3 linked regions of the Arabidopsis thaliana genome follow. The protein of the gene in region 1 interacts with the protein of each later gene in a pairwise test. Each region holds a gene or a part of one and is shown in the gene's direction. Other genes may lie near its edges.

Region 1 (4,015 bases):
TGAAAAGCAAATCTCTATTTGATCAATTAATTCGAACGCTCAATAGTATGTAAGAAGTCATTTACACAGTACCTCGGTAAGTGTTTGAGGGTTAAATATTTGTTGAATTTTTAACATCACACTAATTTAGAGTATAATCTAAATTATAAGGTATACGTATGAAATCATAGCTCAATGATGATAGAATTCGTTAATTATTCTCGTAAAAGTGAATATTTGATTTAAAATGAGTCAAAATATATTTGATTTGACGAATTCTAAAAGTGTTCCGCTTGAGTTATAGAAACATGCTCAAAATGATGGTGATGACTTTTTTTTAGTTCTTTATTTGAAAAGTCAGTTTGGAAATGAAAACAGTAAGGCTGACCAAACAATATACAGTATGTTATCCAACTCTTATCCGTTTTAAGAAAACAAAGTATGTGTAAGAGTCGGGTAATATGATATCAGGTTATTTCTAAACCATCTGTCTTGTAACCCATCATTTTACTTGGATATATTTTCTTACATACAAATAATTTATTATAATAGTTTAGACATGTCAATTGGACTAGTCCAGTCTGACAAAGTCCAGAAAATTCGAATATATTTTATTTAGTCTGGTTCGGTTAGTAAAAATTTTGAAATAAAAAAATTTGAACTTATATTTCAAGATCTGGTAATAACAGGGACAAGACTTTTCCAGGTTTTTTATGTTTTTCTTTCCAGAAAAAAACAAATTTATAATTTATAATATTTCTGAAAGATGGATATATGAACAAAACAAATCAGTTGAAATTTAAATAACCATGAAAGCCAGTTTATTTTCAAAAAAAAAGGTTTAAAATCAAAAAAAATAATCTAATTTTTTTATTTAAACTCATAACAAATAAAATATAAAATCAGAAGATTTTAATCTAGACAGTCGAGCCAAGATTTGTTTTTTAGATTTATAGTAAGGCACAATTGAAAAACTAGGTTTAGGGTTTTCAATACTATTAAAAAAAACAAAAACAAATATTCCAATTAAAGAAAAATATTAACAAAAGAAAAGTAAAAAAAAAAATTAAAATTTTTTTAGGCCGGCTTGAATCTGGTGGGATTAAGCCTCAAAAACTTTTTATCCCGAATGGGTTAGCTTAAGGGAATTTTCTGGATATATATTTTTAAGTCTGAATCTCTATTTTCAGAATTGATAGTCCGGGGAATTTGACCCTAAATGAAATATAGTTTGATAAATAAACAAATAGACAATATCTGAAGAACAAATTAACCGTCCAAAAAAAAATATGCGAACTCCTATCCAAACACCTAGTTTAAAAATAACAATATAATATTTTAAATAACAATGTTGGAATATCATTAATTTCTAAGGAAAAAAACTAAAACCTTAACTTTAAAAAAATTAAAATAGGATAAAATAGGACTATACTTGTACAGTTGTATCAGTAAATAATAATTTCTGTAAACTGCCAGAAGAAAGGTTTATTTTCCTTTTTTTAGTGGACCTATCAATTAATTATTCCAATATAACTTCTTTTTTTCAGGTCCACTAAATATATTTTCTATACTACATATTATATTACATGATAATATTTCATTCTCAAATATACCTATATAAATTTAAGATTTCTTCTATTTACCAATTAGTTTAATTATTAGTTTGTTACACCATTATTGTTTTCCATACATAACATAAATAGAAATAGAGTTTTCTGTAACGTTTCTATATAATCCAAGTGAAACAAACATATTTTCCACTTCCATTTACAAAAGAAAAAGAAAAAAAAAACAGAGAAAAATGGATTCGAAAAATGGAATTAACAACAGCCAAAAGGCAAGAAGGACTCCAAAAGACCGCCATTTGAAAATTGGTGGCCGTGATCGTCGCATTCGGATCCCGCCGAGTGTTGCTCCCCAACTATTTAGATTGACAAAAGAACTCGGCTTTAAAACCGATGGTGAAACTGTCAGTTGGCTCCTCCAGAATGCCGAGCCTGCCATTTTCGCAGCCACGGGACATGGTGTCACCACCACCTCCAATGAAGATATCCAGCCAAATAGGAATTTTCCTAGTTACACCTTTAATGGTGATAATATTAGTAATAACGTTTTCCCTTGTACGGTTGTAAATACTGGTCATCGTCAGATGGTGTTTCCGGTTTCTACAATGACAGATCATGCACCTTCAACTAATTACAGTACTATTAGTGATAATTACAATTCCACCTTTAATGGTAATGCTACCGCCAGTGATACAACATCAGCAGCAACAACAACAGCCACAACCACAGTTTGAGCTTGTGAAGGAGGAGACGGCGTCGCTGAGAAGGCCAATTTGGAGTCTTTAAAATAAATATTGGAGATTTAAGAGTGTTCAGTTCTGGACGTTTTAGTTCGTTTCTGTTTGCTTTTTCTTTCCTCTTCATGTTTTTCAGTTTGAGAGTTGAACTAGGGTTTGTTTTAGTTCGATCGGTATCCATTTGTCTTTTTTTCTTGTATGCTCATGTTTTTTTAAGATGAATAATAATACCTAAAATTAATTATAGATGTAATTTAAAACTGTTTGTCCATGTTTGAAGTTTAGTAGAGAATTTGATTTCAACAATGGATTAAATTAAACTCTTCACAACAAATTTGATTCATTTTTTCTTTTTTGGACACGAACAATTTCGTTGGTATTCTAGAATAAATAATTCTGTCATAATATTTACCGAAACATAACTTTTATGTACAGTTATTTATTTCCGTTTTCTAATTTGTCAAAATTCGTTTGTCTTTCGAACCTAAAGGTTCCAACGGTTATGAAAACATTAATTAAAAACGGATATCAAAAACTATAATATAAATAAATTAAAGAGATAATAAAAGGAACAATTGAGTAAGAATGTGGTTTTATATCTGTTAAAGAAATTTCCAGCTCACACTTAGCTGGACAATAATTATTTAAGATTTGTTTCTGTATTTAGCTTCATACATCTATTTTAATATTTCTTAATACACAGATATATATTTTAATATATATATATATATATTATTTTCAAGATTCTCAAGGAAAAAAAAAGAAAAAAAAAAGGAAGGAAAACTAAATCTAAAGAATAAGAAACTAATTTTTGTGTAAATAAAAATTACTTTAATAAACTTTTAATAGTTTTCCCTTAAATTCTTTTACTTTATAGATTGGTTAATATGTATTTAGAGAAAAATACTATTTAACCTTTATTTAGATTAAAAAAAAAAACTTGAGTAAGAAAATGGTTTAAAATTCTTAAAGAAAATTCCAGCTCACTTTAAGCTAGAAAAAGAGATTATATAGTTTATAGTATAAAAATAAATTTAATCATACCATGTTTAATAAAATTTGAAGAAAAACTTATTTTCTTTTTCCATGAATAACAAGATTTTTCTTAACAATTAAAATTTCTTTTAGCAACATATATTAATACTTTAGTTTTCTGTTTTTTTGTTGGACATGGGTTCCGCCCCATTCCAAAAAGCCCGGCCCAAATATAGTTAGGCCCATAAGAAAGAGACTTGCGTTTGGTCCGTTACACAAGCTCAGCCCATTAAGTATCGTCAATTTGCTGGGAGCAGAAAAGAAAAATCATCCCGAGTTCATGACCGCATATATCTTCCCTATAAAAGCGGAAAAACACTGTCGAGAAAGGATCCCGAATTTCACGCTGACACATATGTAGAGAGTACATGTAATCTCCTTCGTACAAGTTTCCCCATTGAGTTCCTAGGAAGCCTTTTTTTAATCGTTAGTACGTACGAACATCTTTCGAACCAAACGCCTTGTCCGTCATTCTTGCACCTTTATTCAAACGAGTTGGATACATTGTCTTCTCGGATTGTCCTTGTAAACTCGTACCTTCACCTTGTATAATCTTGTATTCGCCAAACCTAATTCGTCTTATAAGAGATTATCCGTCCTTCTCCTTAAACCTTTACATGAATTGTATGATTTGAGTATCAACAGTTTTTGTTTAGGGAACTACGGTTTCAGCTTCAAGCAACTCTGACGGTTCTAATG
Region 2 (5,393 bases), on another chromosome or scaffold:
AAACAAACAAAACCTAAGGCAAACCTTTGTTCGGTTCTCGATCAGTCGATTTATATGAATGGATTTCTATTCAACATATGTTCTCTTTTCTTATTTTTCGGCCTTGAATCTCTTATTTTTCTATTTTTTCGGGTCCTCAAGATTATCCACCTAGATGTGTCTCACTCTTTTCATTTCCCTATTGCAGGTCAACGACGTTTTATTTAAGCTTTTTCCCATAGACCGATTACCCATTTATCAGAATTACTTGGATTAATGGAATTATTCTCGATTTAAGTCGAATTTTTCGAAGGGTGCTACATATCTCATCAACAAACAATACAAATCAAAGGAAGGAAGAAGAGCTAAAGAGCTAAAAAAAAGATGAGGAGGAGATCGAAGTAAACAAATTGGAAGAAAAAGAGATCCAACAATGATTGGTTGTGAACATGTTATGCTAGTTTATTTCAAATTTTGAAACCCTAAACCTCAAACCATCAGTAATCTGTCATTACCGACATAGTATTACATATGGATCGAAAAATAAACATGTTAAATATGTGTCCTAAAAAAATACATATGAACAGTGGTAGAGGCAAGTGTAGTGGAGGAGGGTCACTGCATATGAATATCGACGATATAGTATGGGCCATAGATAATTGAAGAAATAACCATCTGATCACAGCTTGACACACGAATCAGGTTATCCATCGTGTGATGACATTTTTCAAAAAATATGAATGGTATTACCAGTTTCTTGTTATGCTTTGGGTTCAGTAAAGTTCCACTCATTTTCCAGTATCTGATGAATGATAGAGCAGTCTTTTTAGAACTTTGAGCTTTCATATTCCTTCCGTCCAACAAAGATGAATTTTCTATGGAAAAAAATTGTCCCACAAAGATACAAATTTTGTATTTTTAATATAAATTTTAAAATTGTTTACCTGTTTTATCCTAAGTAAATAAGTAGATAAATATTTTTTATTATTTTTAAAATATATTAAAAGGTTAAAATTGTCAGTATACATTATTTTTTAAAAATGTGAAATTTCTATAAAAAAATCCATCTTCATAGGATAAAGATGTTATTAATTTTAGCTATTAGTCATGATCAACCTACACTGGTACTTCTATATTTCCTCCATGATATCAATTTTTATGTTTTAACCAGTGATATGAACTGTGACTTTCCACCTTCATAACTTTGATATCCATATATATTAGTGTAAGTTTCGTACTGTACATATACTTGCATCATAACTGGATTAGCCGAGACTAAATAATTTTGACTATTCTTCACAGTTCATACTCAAGGTCTCTGTTCTTTGTAATTCTAGACTACATATCAAATAAAAAGATGATGATATATTAGTCAAAACTCAAAAGTAATTAGAAGAAAAAACTTTGTAATTCCGGAATATCATACGTTACTACTTTTCATTAGTAAAATACCCAAATTACTTGGGAAATTGAGGTTCTGCAGTTCCCGATGTACAAGAGAATAACAATACAATACACTGATCTAAAGTGAATGGGACGCTTGACATTGCCAAACCAAACCATGCTTTTGTATCAATATCTAATAAACATATAAGCTTAAATTTATAATGATGTATTATTATCAAAATAAACAATGATAATATAACATTAAGATATTTCTAGCCTTTTCTTTTCCGCATAAAAGTCTGTCCTGGCTCATTATAAACTACCACTAATTTAGGCAAAATCCGTATCTTAACAAAAGTAATAAAAGCAATTTCGAGTATTGGGATTGGAAGATACCTTTTCCCCTTATTCATTCTTCTTCTCATTCTTCTTTTCTCTAAATAAAGTAGTTGAGACTTGAGAGCCACCGAAAAGCATTCGACATCCTATCATTAAAGCTAACTTTTTTCAGTGTTTTATTTCTAAAATAATTTCTTAAAATAAAGAAAGGTGAGAGAGAAATTATGTCCCTATACAACTAGTAGAATGAAAGATTGTCAAGCTTTGGTTTGGGATTTTTCTAATAAATCACATGCATTTGTTAGAATTTGATCCCAAAAAAAAAAAATTCAAACCTTTTTCCTGTAAAAGCAAACCTATTGGCTCGTAGGTCAATGTCAATCTCAATGAATAGTAAAGTCTTTTGATATCACGTATCTATAACATATTATTTTTAGCGTGGTTCATGTCCCTCAACATTCTGCCTAAATTATAGGATCTCAAGACATAGTACTATAGACTACAACTACAAGTAGAGGAAAATTTTATAAGAGAGATAAATTATGCGGTATTCACGCATGACATGCGTAAGCATGAAACTAAAATTTGGTTGATACATTACTATGCCGAATTTAAAGTAGTGCTCCATGCAGACATGAACATATCAGATATCACACGTACGCATGTATTACGTGTATGTAGAGACACACGTACGCATATCTATATTCACACAATGAGATTTCACTTTCTCAAACAAAGATCACTGTCTTCAATTAGTTTCAAATTTGTTCTTTACCTATTGCTTTTACATTTCTGAGTGTATATATTTACAATAAGGACAAGGAGATTTTAAATGATAAAAGTCAACCATATCCCATCATTTGGTCTTTGGTTTCCCGACGTCCCACTTTTGTAAAAATCATCTGTTCATTTTCCATTCTTTTTCTTTTTCCTACCCAACTGGATATCACCAATGATATCATTATACACTAACACTATCATTTCACACTTATCTTCCTCTATATATACATAGCTTAAGTCTTGTAACGAGAAAGGCATGCATAGCATTTGCTAGTTTTAACATATAGCAATGAAGGTTCATGAGTTTTCGAATGGGTTTTCTTCATCGTGGGATCAACATGACTCGACATCATCCCTTAGCCTAAGCTGCAAACGCCTCCGTCCTCTCGCCCCTAAGCTCTCCGGCAGCCCTCCCTCCCCTCCTTCTTCTTCCTCCGGCGTCACTTCAGCCACTTTTGACCTTAAAAACTTCATTAGACCCGATCAAACCGGTCCGACAAAATTTGAACACAAACGAGACCCTCCTCATCAAGTCAGTTCCATTATTGTACTTCGTACATTTTACATCGTTTCTTTCGTTTGAAAAAAGAAGAAGAATTCACTCTAGAAGAATTTTGATAATTGCGGCATACCTAATACTTTGACATTTATAAATTATAACGACTGGAGTGGTTCCTTTTATTATTAATTTTATTTATTTATTTTAATGTATGATTCCTAACAAATGTAATGAAATAATGTGTGGGTTCAGTTGGAGACGCACCCGGGAGGGACAAGGTGGAACCCGACTCAAGAACAGATAGGGATACTTGAGATGTTGTACAAAGGTGGAATGCGTACTCCTAATGCTCAACAGATTGAGCATATCACATTGCAACTCGGTAAGTACGGGAAAATCGAAGGGAAAAATGTGTTCTATTGGTTCCAGAACCACAAAGCCCGCGAGAGACAGAAGCAGAAGAGGAACAACCTCATCAGCCTAAGTTGCCAAAGCAGCTTCACGACCACTGGTGTCTTTAATCCGAGTGTAACTATGAAGACAAGAACATCATCGTCACTAGACATTATGGTAGGAATTTAAGGATTTTGTATAGTTTTGTGGTTTTGATCAACTATATTTAAGGATAATTTTTATGATTGTGTAGAGAGAACCAATGGTGGAGAAGGAGGAGTTAGTGGAAGAGAATGAGTACAAGAGGACATGTAGGAGCTGGGGATTTGAGAACTTGGAGATAGAGAACAGGAGAAACAAAAATAGTAGTACTATGGCAACTACTTTTAATAAAATCATTGACAATGTAACCCTCGAGCTTTTTCCTCTCCATCCTGAAGGGAGATGAAGTCATGAAGGTGAGGCAGAAAATTGTGGAATTCTTATGTAGATCTGGTTTAGGTTCAGAGGAATCAATTGGTATCTAGAAATTCAAAATAAAAATAAAAATAGGAATAAGTCTCTAAAACTACAAAATCTACTTAAGAATTCCCTTATTAATCTGCGAGTTTGATGTATCCTATGTAGATTATTTTTGCGATGTAATCTTAATTATGAATGCTCAGTTTAGCTCATCTTTTTTTCGCGTTTATTCTTGACAAATTCACTAGTGATCAGTTGTACTCTCTTCTGATTTGGCCATCTAAGTATTTCTCTAGATCGTTGGTATGTAGGAATGTTTCATTTAGAGAAATTTCTGAATAAAGACACATTTGATGTTGTTAAAATAATATCTCTGTCTTAATTCCTACGTACGTACAAGAGCAAGAAGTTAAAAGGAAATAATAATAGCATTTCCCGTTGAAAAGGGGGTAGACCTAGTATATTTCTATATAAACAAACATTGAAATCTAAAACTTTTTGTACTGTTATATACTTATATTAAAACTCTTAGTAAAACAGGTGACTCAATAATATTTATATTAATTTTTTATTTTTGATAAATATATACTAAATAAGTTTATGAGATGATAACAAGAAGAATCTTTTCAAGAATTTGATATTTCCAATGGAATGTGTACAAAGACATCAATATATGTAAGCTGTGGTGTGTATGTGGTTAGTTGTTTGTCTGATGCTTTATTGACTCTCGCAAGTGGTTGTTTTGTATTTTGGTTGAAACAAAGAGAGAGTTTTGCTTTTTAGGTTAAAAGTTGAAATGGCATTATATGAGACACACTCACTGAAGTCCATGCACTCGCTTTCCCGCTACATTGCATGCTAGCTAGCTGTTTCTATACATACGCAGATATATGTAGCTCTTCTATATTTTCGCACTTAATTATTGTAAGTGACATTCTTCTTTTCATTTTGGTTATATGCCGATAATTTTGTTTTATTTTCTGATAGCTAACTTCTACTTGGTTGTTAATTATATACCAATTTTCCTTCTTTTTTTCTTTTAAATGTTGATGCAACGTAAAACAAAACTGTATATTTCTACAGTGATTTTAAATAAACGCTAAACTTAAAATAATCTTTTTTGGTAAAGGGTTTAAGATAAATTATAACTTTGTTGGACATCAATTAAACATATATAGAAGTACTCTAAGTTTCTTTATGTTTAGATTATGATTTCTAATTGAAACAAACACATTTCCAGCTAAGTTTATCTTTAATAACCAAACTACCTAATATTTTAAGTCTATCTTTACCGGTAATCATATTCTCAAATGATTATTTGCCATGCATTATGAATTGGTTGCCCGTGGGCGTGGGGCATGGCGTTCCATTACTTATAATCTTGGAGGGAAGCAAGATTGAAATTTAGAAATAAAGAACTTTATTCAATTGGTAATGGGACCATGACTATTTTTTCAATAATTCAATGTTTCTTGGTTTTCACGTGTACATATATATAAGTCCAAAATAATTTCAAACACATAGTATTCAAATAGTATTAGGCCTATCGAAACCG
Region 3 (4,787 bases), on another chromosome or scaffold:
GGGTGAAAGAAGAAGAAGATGAGCGAGAAATCGAGAAGGAGAGACACTTACACTCGTCTTCTTCAAAAAGGGAACCCTAATTTCTAAAGCAGAAGCAGAACTGATAGAAGAAGGCAAGGACACTCCGGCGACTCTCGAGTATCCGGTTTCATGGCCCACCTTACGAAACCTTACAAAGTTACAATTAATTCACAAATATTATTGTTGGTATTAATTTAATATTAAAACAAATAAAAAACCCAAATTTTTTGCATCTAAAATGTTCAATCAAATAACAATTCCGGTTTGGTTTCGGTTCAATTATTTCGGTTTCGCTTTATTTGTTTAAACCATAAAACCAATTTGTAATTCAATTTAGTTAGGTCTCGACATAATAATCGAACCCTACGAACCAACCCAAACCCGACCGAAAACCCTGATCCAAATCCAAAAATTTCAAATATTCAACGGGTCCTAAACTTCAAAACCCGAAAAACTCTAACCCAAACCCGATCTGAACAAATATCCAAACATACCTCAAATATTTGATATATTATTTATATTCATACTTAAATACAGAAAATATTTGGATATTTGGATATTTTAGTTATTTTGTGTATTTTAGGTTACTTTGGATATATTAAAGTAAAACTATTCGTGTTGTTTTGAGAGTTTTTGAAATTTTCAAGTAATTTGATAAATTTACATACAAAATTTTGATATTTTAATATTTAAATAAACCTGAACTCGAACGGTTTAAAATTTTAAAATACCCGAACGGGTCTTAAACTTCTAAATCTGAAATACACAAACTCGAAATATTCGATCCGAATACTGAACGCCCTTTAGTTTTAATTTGGTTTAAATGATATTCCGGTTTGGTTTGTTGTGGTTGTTGGTTTTAATTTCACAGTTCAGCATTAGCAAACCTTAAATTTTATATTTTTAAACATCCTTTATTTCTAATTTCTAGATTTTTGCCTATGAAGATATCTTCAAAGTAATGTTTTAAGAAAATACCTCTTTAAGGACAAGAAAATCATATAAGGAACTTTGCTGAGGAGACATAGAAATAGTTATTTCTCGTTGTTGTAAGCGGTGGTTTAGGTGACTCATTTTCGAAGTTAAAGCTCTCGTTAAATCTGTGTTGAAGCTTCATAATCTACTATGGTGTTCCCTCCAGATCACTTTTTATTACTCCAATACTCATTTTTGAGAGATTCACTGAAGATACTCTAACATACATACGTGTATCTGTAACGTAACGGGATTCAAATACCATTTTTTCTCTTTTTTTGTGTTATGTTGTAGGATCAAAAAAATTGTGACTTTTGTGTGGATTAACATTTGACAATAACGTTAGACGTATCCATTATTCATGTGTTAAAGTAAAATACTTATTCAATAAAAGTTAATATAATTCTAAATTTGTTTTATTTATCGAGTTAAATGAGTTAACTATAACATATATTACATATATGAAATCCTCTACAGCTGTTACACAACAATGTTCATCAATATCCAATGCTGCTATTCTTCTGAAATCTGGACATCAATCGCAAAGAATGTGTACAAAGATAGATTTTCCACAAAATGGTCTGCTGTGGTGAATTACATATCTGATTCTCAGCCTGATCGCATCCAAAGTTTCTTATCCAGGTACACATTCCAAGTCTCTATTCATTCCATTTGGAGGGAGAGAAATTCTCGTCGTCACGGAGAGAAGTCACGTTCAGCTTCAAACCTCATCCGACAGATAGACAAGACTATTAGAAACCAGCTATCGACAATCAAAAAGAAAGGGGATCTTCGACTCGAGAAGGGGCTGCAAGTATGGTTTGACATGCGTCCATAGCATCCTCTAAGAAAGAAGACTCTGTTTTTGCTCTCTCAATTCTATTTACTCTGTTTTTGATCTAGCTCTATTTCTCTTATTATCAAAATATCAAAAAAGCTGATGTAAAAAGTATATTTTTTCTTTTAAATATAATTTGACATTTTATTCAAAAAAAAAAAAAAACAATGTTCATCAATAAAGTTGATTGTTGTTGATTTCTTAAAACAGGAAATCAACGAAATCTCCCAAAGTAAATAAAATTGTGTATCAACCTGTATGCCATGTATCTAAATAACAAATCAAAATCTTTTAGCAATAGATTCAAAAAAAAAGAAAAAACTTTTTGCAATATGATATGTCATATAATGATAATTAAGTTGATACAAATTGGATTCTTAAAATAAACTGGATTCTTAAGCTGCTAACCATTTATTAAAAAAAGATATTGACACATTTACCTACTCACATATTATCAAACCATATATCTAAATCACCTACTACATATTTCATTCGAAACATTGTACATAAATATATCTCTATACAAAATTTAAATGACAACATTGTCAACATAGAAGTATAGAACCGTGGCTATTAGCTATTCATATTGGGCCGACAAAAAAAAAAAAAAAAGGCTATTCATATTGGTGGGTACTAAAATAAGGCTTGGAAATTCATATTAATGTAAAACTCATTTAATCGTTAGAGAGCGTGGTAGTCATGTAGATTAATGAAGGAGCGTGAGATCAAGCAATCAAATTACGCAAAGTCACGCCGCAGTAACGGGACGTTAAGGCAAAAAGCCGTCACAAAAACATTAAAACCTCTCACATTGTCTGTTTTTTGGGCGGCGCTTTTCAGTCAAACCCTCGTTGACCGTCTCTTTCTCTTTCTCTAAACCAAAAACCTTTTCCTTTATAAATTAAACCAAAAACAACGTCACTTCTCTATCTAAACGAGAATATATCTCTTCTTTTATAAGCAATGGCTCCAAGACAGGCGAACGGTAGAAGCATTGCCGTGAGTGAAGGCGGCGGAGGGAAGACGATGACGATGACGACGATGCGGAAGGAAGTGCACTTTAGAGGTGTGAGGAAGCGTCCATGGGGTAGATACGCGGCGGAGATCCGTGACCCGGGAAAGAAAACCCGGGTTTGGCTCGGGACATTCGACACGGCGGAGGAAGCTGCAAGAGCTTACGACACCGCCGCTAGAGAGTTTCGTGGCTCCAAAGCAAAGACTAATTTCCCTCTTCCCGGAGAGTCTACTACGGTTAACGACGGTGGCGAGAACGATTCTTACGTCAACCGTACGACGGTGACGACGGCGCGTGAGATGACGCGTCAGAGATTTCCGTTTGCATGTCACCGGGAGCGTAAAGTCGTCGGTGGTTATGCTTCTGCTGGTTTTTTCTTCGATCCGTCAAGAGCTGCTTCGTTAAGAGCAGAGCTTTCTCGGGTTTGTCCGGTTCGGTTTGATCCGGTTAATATCGAGTTGAGTATTGGTATTCGAGAAACCGTAAAAGTTGAACCGAGAAGAGAACTAAACCTGGATCTTAACCTAGCTCCACCGGTGGTGGACGTTTAGATTTTTTTCTTCTTTTCATAATTTGTATTTTACATTGCCGGAAAATAATTAATGTTTTCTTTAGTAGATGAGAAAAAGAAAAATCTCCTATGTTTTTGGCTAAGTAAGAGGAATTTTTTTTCAGAAATCTCCTATGGTTCCCTAATTACGTGGATGTAATTAATTACTAATCAAATATCTCCTTTTGATATTTTTTTTCTACTTTTGATGTTTTTTCTTAAATGTCTTAAAATGACATGATGGTTGGTTGATGTATCAAATAGGTAGTAGATATCACTCCATTAAATGGATGTGGAATATGAAACCAAGAAACATCGAACATTTAGATGGTCTGTCAACATCAAACAATTTAGTATAGGAGAGTACCCAAAAATAAAAATAAAAAAATCGGATGATCATGACACAAAAAAGTAGTTATCGTTTTCATTAGTTTTCTCATTATATTGAATTATGGTTTCATGGTTTGGTTTATAAATTAGACATGTAAAATTCTTTTTTCATCTATGAATTGTGTAGGAAGAAAATTAAATTCAAAAGTAAAAAAACTGTAGTGAGTTATGAGTTTTTTTTTAAAATGTATTTGAAAAGTAGAGTGGTAGCATCATGAGTCCAATCTTCGAGTTTCGTGTAGATGGGGATGATGGCATGAGTGTCAGGTGGGAGGCACGTGTGCTTTAGCCGTCCATAATCTGTTTTGTTCCTATGCTTTCAATTTTTTTAAACCACAAACATATTTTGGCTAGGGTGGCTTTCTTACGTCTAATTATTATGTTTTGGTTTTATTTTTGTCATCTAAAATTTTATTAATAAAAAGATGAAATATATATACCGCTGATAAAAATTAAATAAAGAGATAAAATTATATTATATGTTAGTAATAACTCTTTTGAGATGTAATTAATTTTGTTGAAAAAAAATCATAAGTACTAAAAAGGATCGCATCTAAACACTATTGAACAAAAGTTAGAGAGATTTTCATAAAGGTTCCCCTATAGAATATCTAAATGTCGGAACCACCAATAAATCCGAATAGACCAGGCACCAAAGATAAGCAAATAACAAACCAATATGGATGAAAATAAAAATCCAACACGACCATAGGACTCAAATAGAACTACTAACACACTTCACCAACAAACCACAGAAAGCAAGAAACACTAGAATTAAGACAAAAACTTTAAATTGACTGCAGATAAATCACGTAAGATCAATAATTCTTATATGCAGATATTAGTCGAAGTAGCGTAGCCATCTATAAACTTAGAGCTGATTAGCGTTCTATCTAATTATCTATAAATTGTTTAATTACATTAGTTTTTATTGGAATGAGTATATTATAAAACCAAAAACCATCACAGCTATCAGATTTATAACCCTCTAACCCGTT

The links. The genes of interacting proteins can lie anywhere in the genome.
Region 2: the proteins of TCP16 (region 1) and WOX4 interact in binary tests that used the Arabidopsis thaliana proteins (3 or more experiments, as listed by UniProt).
Region 3: the proteins of TCP16 (region 1) and ERF9 interact in binary tests that used the Arabidopsis thaliana proteins (3 or more experiments, as listed by UniProt).

The regions. Positions count from the first base shown.
Region 1 is NC_003074.8:16,529,399-16,533,413, forward strand, and holds TCP16 (TCP domain protein 16), read left to right. Parts: upstream 1-1,780; coding exon 1,781-2,278; downstream 2,279-4,015. UniProt on the Arabidopsis thaliana protein: Required during early processes in pollen development.
Region 2 is NC_003070.9:17,235,334-17,240,726, reverse strand, and holds WOX4 (WUSCHEL related homeobox 4), read left to right. Parts: upstream 1-2,541; 5' UTR 2,542-2,773; coding exon 2,774-3,016; intron 3,017-3,235; coding exon 3,236-3,553; coding exon of another isoform or gene 3,554-3,565; exon of another isoform or gene 3,566-3,629; coding exon 3,630-3,824; 3' UTR 3,825-4,203; downstream 4,204-5,393. UniProt on the Arabidopsis thaliana protein: Promotes differentiation and/or maintenance of the vascular procambium, the initial cells of the developing vasculature.
Region 3 is NC_003076.8:17,803,945-17,808,731, forward strand, and holds ERF9 (erf domain protein 9), read left to right. Parts: upstream 1-2,452; 5' UTR 2,453-2,797; coding exon 2,798-3,400; 3' UTR 3,401-3,597; downstream 3,598-4,787.